Linked DNA regions of Mus musculus. The protein of the gene in region 2 binds, or shares a complex with, the protein of the main gene of each other region. Links are inferred from orthologs where the notes say so. Each region holds a gene or a part of one and is shown on either strand. Other genes may lie near its edges.

What was found. Proteins that work in one complex are often made in the same cells at the same time.
Region 1: Erc1 (region 2) and Ppfibp1 share a complex: the UniProt entries of both Homo sapiens proteins name them as parts of the cortical microtubule stabilization complex. The link is inferred for Mus musculus from reciprocal best matches to the Homo sapiens genes ERC1 and PPFIBP1.

What each region holds. Positions count from the first base shown.
Region 1 is NC_000072.6:147,020,993-147,024,628, reverse strand, and holds part of Ppfibp1 (liprin-beta-1), read right to left. Parts: intron 3,329-3,636; coding exon 3,178-3,328; intron 2,484-3,177; coding exon 2,372-2,483; intron 2,268-2,371; coding exon 2,179-2,267; intron 1-2,178. UniProt on the Homo sapiens protein: May regulate the disassembly of focal adhesions. Did not bind receptor-like tyrosine phosphatases type 2A.
Region 2 is NC_000072.6:119,750,595-119,754,230, reverse strand, and holds part of Erc1 (ELKS/Rab6-interacting/CAST family member 1), read left to right. Parts: intron 1-834; coding exon 835-972; intron 973-2,890; coding exon 2,891-3,031; intron 3,032-3,636. UniProt on the Homo sapiens protein: Regulatory subunit of the IKK complex. Probably recruits IkappaBalpha/NFKBIA to the complex. May be involved in the organization of the cytomatrix at the nerve terminals active zone (CAZ) which regulates neurotransmitter release.

The DNA of each region.
Region 1 (3,636 bases), about 27 Mb from region 2:
CATTTAATTAAAGTCTATCAGATTAAGAAACATCTAAATGTGTACTGTTTCCAATATAAATAAAATGTTAATTACTTCTGAAATATATTTGAAAGATTTCTTTTTTACAAGGATTACTTTCATTTGAAACCCTTTTTAAGTCTGGGCATTCTGGCGCACGCCTTTAATCCCAGCAATAGGGCAGCAGAGACAGGCAGATCTCTGTGAGTTTGAGGCCAGCCTGGGCTATATAGAGAGTTCCAGGACAGCCAGAGCTACACAGTGAGATCTTATTTTTTAAAAATAGCAAATAAATAAACACATGGTTTATTTTAAAATGATTTTAGACTTAGGGGCTTCTAGACAGTGTAGAATTCTGTGTTTCATAGTTTCTCCTGATATTCACATCTTATGAAACTATGGCACACATCAAAATTAAGAAACACAAATAAAATTAGTATAGACTCTATTCAGCTTTTGCCAATTTTAAGGCTTATTGTTTTCATTAGTTCATGTGTATGGTGTGTGTGGAGGAAAACACACACACACCAAGCTCTGTTCTCCTCTCCTCTTCTTCCTCCTCCTCTTCTTCTTCCTCTCTTCCCCTCTGTCTGTCTGTCTGTCTTCCCCCCATGCACCAAGTTCACACATATGTACAAAGCTCTCTCTCACACAATCACAAACATCAAGCTCTTCTCACTCTCATATACACACACATATCAAGCTCACATGTACACCATTCTCACTCCCCCCCTCACACACACACACACACACACACACACACACACACACACACACACACACAGAGGTCAGGGGACAACTCTGTGGCCCCAGTCCTCACCTTCCACCTTGGCATGGGTCACAGGAATAGAACTCATGCTGTCAAGCTAGCAAGGCAAGCACTTTTATCTGTTTGGCCATCTCACTGGCTCCCAAACTGTTTTTTTACTTCCTGTTTTTTGCCAGTTTCCTACTAAGATCCTTTTTCTGTTCCTGGAGCCAACCCAGGGAACCAGATCCTAACAGGGACTTTCCTTTTAGGAATCACAGGTCACTCTTTCCAGTGTCACTCCATGTCTTTCAGGCATGCAGGTCTTACAAGTGCTTCCTGTGACTTTTGAGTTGAGGTTGCTCACATTCCCTCGGGACATCTGACCCCATGGACGTGGGCAGAAGCAGGTCAAATGTCACTGTATTTGTCCCAGGTGGAATAGTGCGCTATGCAAAGAAGGACCTGGAACCAGCCTAGGTTCAAATTCTCTATGGCTTCCTGCTACTTAGTAACCATGGACAACTGGTTACATTCCCCAACTTCTCAGCTCCTTGTCTCTTAGTCTCAAGAATGGAGATGTAATAGTATTAAAGGGTTACTGAGAATCCATAAATGTGGTTCTTAAAAAAGACAGCGGCTATAAACTATGCCAAGCTCATTATGGTCACTCATGCAAGGTTACATGATGTCCCCGCCAAGCTTGCAAGTACTTTGGCTCAATGATAAAAGAATACAAATCCCATGAACTCAGCTCCAAGTTCCTTTCACAATGAAAAAAAAAATATGGAATTAGCAGGTTAAACTTTCCCCTTACTTAACAAAGAAAACACCTATGGGGCTCCCTACCTGACAACGTGTTCTTTAAATAAAAGGATCTTCTATAAAACATTAATCACACTGTGGAATCCAGAACAAGGCTCTCCTGGCAGCCATCTCCCCTGCTGTTATACATAAGGAACAGTCTTCCTACGGTCTTCCTACGCTGGCTGGAAGCCTGAAAACACCCAGTAGAGAAGGGAGCAGTGCAGGTTCAGCCTCCCGCCTCCTCTAACCCCGCAGCCCCTGCCCTCGGGACTGATGTGAAGAGGATTTCAGGGAGCAGCCGTGCGAAGGAAGGCAAGGGAGGAGGCTGGTCCTTGTGCACACCAGGGCAAACTAGAGCTTCGTAACTCTGGAACGCGTGATGTAGAAATGACCAGGGCTTCAACCCTTTCTATCTAGTAGCAATTCTGTGACAGAACTCACACACCATAAAAACGCAAACATCCACGTGTACACTTCAGAACTCACCTTGTTGACTACCTCAGTCCTCTAGATAGCTTAGGCTAAATATAGTTTTGCCTGGCTTAAGTTTCTAATTATCTCAGAGCTGTACCAACTGTTACAACATCACTTCACAGGAAACACCCCAACAGAGATCTACTAACCACAGTCATGTAGTGCAGCATTCGACCGTCCACCCGCCCTTCATCAAACTGGGTCTTGTACTGAGGGAGGCCAATATCATCCAGCCATCCTAAAGGAGAAAAGCCAGTGCCGTTATCAAGCTATGAACTTGCCTAACTGTCAAGGAGAAAATATGACAATGTTTATTCTTCTTCATGCATAAAGGCCTCTTACTAGTAACCCAGTTGAAGTCTAGCTTCCCATAGTTGGTTTCTTCTTCAGATCCCAGGGCCTGCAGGGCCAGCTGGAGCTTCTTACGATGCAGTGAATGCTTGATGCCAAGTTCCTGAAACAATAAACAGAGCCTTAGAATTTTGTCCATCAGGGTTGGATCCACCAGCAAAGAACCCTCCACCAGGAAGCTTCCCTTCAAGACCAGCCCTGCATTGAGTTAGAACACTACCTCAGGCTAATAACCCAGTCTATATTGAATTATAGTATGAACCTCAGGCCAGGACAGCATTGCTGAAGAAAAGGCCCAAGTCTACCACAATGGGCTCAGTGGGATGTTAGACACTGCCTAAATAAATTCATTTTATTTGTAAGAAAGAAACTGTTGAATGCATAATGGGATTTGACTTCTATTTTGTGTACAGTGTTTGAGAATTACAACATAAAATATATAAAGTATTCCTTTGTGAAGTTGAATTGCATATATTATATTAAAAAGATATGTCAATGTGTGTTTACAAAATGAGTGAGATGTATGAACTGTATCCATTTTATGAAGTCTATTCACTATAGCACCTATATAATTACATAAGCTAATGCTTTTCATTACGGGTTCCACTCAGCCGGCTCTGTTTCAGGATGATAAAGGATCAATACTACATCAAGACTCTGGCTGAGGGTAGGTGTTGCTGGGGATTGAACCTTGGGCTCTCACACGTCAGACAAGCGCACTACCCCTGAGCTGCATTTCCAGCTATACATGCGCACCCCCCTCTTCTTATTACGTACAGGAGAATGGGAACAGTTACCTTCTCCAGATCCTGCTGAGAAGCCTGCAAAAGGGTCTGGCCAGATATAATCCAGTGCTTGCCAGAACTCAGGTAGGACCCCAAGCCTTGCTCTGCCAGCCAGCTACACACCTGCTCCTTGGTCCATTTGGCAAATGGCATATCCAGGTCACTGTAGGAAATGAGAAACAGCCCAGTCTTGCAGCGTATAGTCAGTACTGAGCAACTGTGCATACAATCAATATGGAAATTCCCTGGCAACAAACATTTAACCAAGAAAAACCTAATTTTCAGTTCGAGATTGGAAAGTTACTTTCTAAAATCCCTGTTTTCAATTCAAAAGAAATTGTGGAAGAACCAACAGGAGTTACTGAGAACACTTTCTACAGAAAAACACCAAGATGAGCTATGTGCGGATCAGCTGCACTCAGAGCCGTTGTACAACTGCTCCACTAAAGACCCTACAGTCTTTAGTGGCCT
Region 2 (3,636 bases):
AAATTATTTAAAGTTGTCAGCTCATTTCTAGGATTGAAACCTCTATGTATTCAAATCTCTCTGAAATTCAGAGTCTGTTCCTCAGTAGGCCAGTAAGCTCATCTTTACTCACGTTCAGTTTCATAATGGGCCACTCTTTCTCTCTTCTCATGTCATATAGTAGAAGTGGCCTCTTCATTTTTCTTAGTATTCTCAGTGCCTGGCATATTGTAAGGAAATTAGTAATTGTCTACTGACATAGGACTCTGAATGTGTCAGAGTCAGGTTAGTTCTTGGGTAGGAGAAATACATAATTCTTTTGAGAAAATGAATGCATTTAAGTGTGTGAGAAGAAATGAATGAACACAGCAAGAAGTTTCACTGAAAATACTCGTTGTATTAATACTTGTTGTGTAAGTGTATAAAACAGTTGTAAACACTAACATACAAAGACAGTTTTTTCTTTATACAAGTAATTTGGTTTTCTGTGTGATTCTTTGTCCTTCAGTTTGCTGTACACAATGGCATCTTAGAAGTGATTGTGTTTCTTATGGATCCATTGCAGTCCCTCTCAGCATTCTGACTTAACATTGAAACTTTGTGCCTCAAAACTTACCTAGGGATTTGCCTATCTGTTCATTGGATGTTTGTTTTTTCTTTGTGGTGGTACAAAATTTTGGCTGCTGTAGGGTTCAGCATATAATTTTGAAACAATTAAGTTTAAATTATTTCTACAGAGAACACATATACATACCCACATCATAATTTGTTTATGTCTTAAATAATTTTTATTGTGCCTATTTGTACCCTTTTTAATGTTTTTTTTTTCTCCCTTAAATGTATATGTATATTTAGATAGAAAATCTTCAGGAACAACTAAGAGATAAAGAAAAGCAGATGAGCAGCTTGAAAGAGCGAGTCAAGTCTCTGCAGGCGGACACCACTAACACAGACACAGCTCTGACAACTTTGGAGGAGGCTCTTGCAGATAAAGTAAGTGACTGGCCTGACTCTTCCCAGACCTTGTGTTCTGTTTTCTCATTATCCTAGAATTGGCTATAACTACAGAGGCAATCCTTTCATAGGAGCTTCCATGCTGCTGTGCATAGTATAAAGTGGAAAGACAGTCTAGTTACTCTTAGATCTTAGCACCAACTTCTGGGCAAGATTGGTTGTACACCAAAAGACCATAGCCACATTTCCTCAAGATTCAGCACGTGTGTCCTATTTTTCTGCTTTCTAAAGGAAACAAAAATTCATTATTTGATTAGCTAGATGTGCAGGAGATTCGACATTGATCATCAGGGTGTTATACCAGACTAGCTCTGCTCTGTTGCCTTCCCACCATATGACATATTCATAAATTTTATTCATGAATGTTACATATGTACTCATTTTCTAGCATTGGCTTACTCCTAAAATAATTTTTAAATTTTGCTTGTATTTGTGTCTGACCATCACATGTGTACCTTGTGCCCCAAAGGCCAGAGAGGGCATTGGATCCCCTGGTACTGGAGTTGGAGACAGTTGTGAGCTGCCAGGTGGATGCTGGGAACTGAACCTGAGTCCTCTGGAAGAGTGGTCAGTGCCCTTAACCACTGACCCATCTCTCTAGCACTTTGGCTCATATTACATTGTTTTATCTTTATGAGCATACTTGACATTTTAAGGAATGAAAAAGTGGTGAGAATGTATTTTAGAGAATCTCTTTATGGTGTTTTTTTTTTTTGTTTCTTATTGTTCATTTTGGAGGGGGTATTGTTTTGTGATGAGGTCTCATGTGGCTTAGGCTAGCCTCAGGCTCGCTATGTAGCTCCGTGTCTTAGTCAGGTTCTGTAGAGGAACAAGTGATGAATAAATCTATCATCCATCTGTCTGTCTATATCTATATATCTATATATCATCCATCTATATAATGAGGTTTTATTAGAGTGGCGTACAGGCTGTGGTTCAACAATGAGGGTCTACCAGTGGAAGGTCCAAGAATCTGGTGGTTTTCAGTCCACAATGCTGAATGTTTCAGGTGGTCTTCAGTATATGCCAGAATCCTGAAGAAGAAATGGACTTGCTAGTGAGAGTGAGAACAAGTAGGAAAAGAGAGCTAGATGTGCCCAGCCATTTGGGTTTTAGTTAATTCCAGATGTAGTCAAGTTGGCAGCCAACACTAGCCATTACACACAGGGTGGCCTTTAACTCTTGATTCTCCCACCTCCAAGTCCCAAGTGTTGGCATTAAAAGGTTATCTCATGATGCTGTACTTTCTTTGAGATATTTAATTGGATTTTTTTTAGAGGCATAAGGCAACATTTGTTAGGTCTTTTGGACTCAGAATGCTTTGATCTGCTTGCTAGGATGAATGCATGTTCTCTGAGTATGTTTAGAAACATTACCCAGAACTATACTTAAATTGCTTTAGCCTTCACGCTTCCTGAGTAGAAGTTTAAAATTTTCTATCACTTCTCTATCCTCTTATCTAAGATCAGTTTATCCTAGCTCCCCCTACTTTTGATATATGGGTTATGAGTAATTCCTATTGTTTTATAGGTAGTCTGTGTCACTATTATTATAGTGAAGAAATATGTGTTATTTTATTGTCCTAGGGACATACACATAAGTTTCTAGTTATTTGGAAATTGAATTTTAATGAAAATGTTTCAAGAGAATGTGTTAGTGCTATCTAATGATATTTCAAATGATTAGAAACTGACTCTTGGTATTTAAAAATAAGCAAAGTTGGAAATTACTGGTTGCAGTAGGAAAAATGAGTTCTTTGAGAACTGAATCCTTGAAGGGCTTACCATTGTCTTTTTGATAGATGATAGTAGTGTTGAGTTTGTCAGAGGAATCAGAGCATGTTCACGATGTAAGTACAGATGGGAGCATCCTCATGTCTTGGTGTGCTTTCTTTTAGGAACGGACAATTGAACGCTTAAAGGAGCAGCGGGACAGGGATGAGCGGGAGAAGCAGGAGGAGATTGATACCTACAAAAAAGACCTCAAAGACCTGAGAGAGAAAGTCAGCCTGCTACAAGGAGACCTCTCAGAAAAGGAGGTGAGGCTCACCAAATTAGTCGTTGCATGTTTATATCTGTTGCTGGCTGCACAGTGCAGCACGGAGGAAAGATTTTCTTAGTGTCCTGTGGCAGGTGTTCCAGGGACTCAGGAAGCTGTGAGGGCTACAGAAGATTGGCTCATTTATTTCATACTCTTTTACTGCCTTGTTCTCCGTTCTAAGAGTTGGTTTCTTTCTTCTTCTTCTTCCTTTTTAGTTTTTTTTAAATTAGTATTATTTATTTATTTTATGTATATGAGTACATTGCAACTGTCTTCAGACACACCAAAAGAGAGCATCAGATCCCATTACAGAGGGTTGTAAACCACCATGTGGTTGCTGGGATTTGAACTCAGGACCTCTGGAAGAGTAGTCAGTGCTCTTAACCTCTGAGCCATCTCTGCAGCCCAAGAGTGGGTTTCTTATGGGATCCCAATCTATATGCAGATCCTAGAATGGCTGAAGCCCAGTTACATTTGGAGAAACACTGCTAACAGTAAGGAAGGTGACAGAAAAGGAGGAAATCTAATCAGAACCACTATTAGAAACATCATAGCCTATAACTTGATTCACTTCGTGAGTTTTGTTCTTATTTTTTAATAATC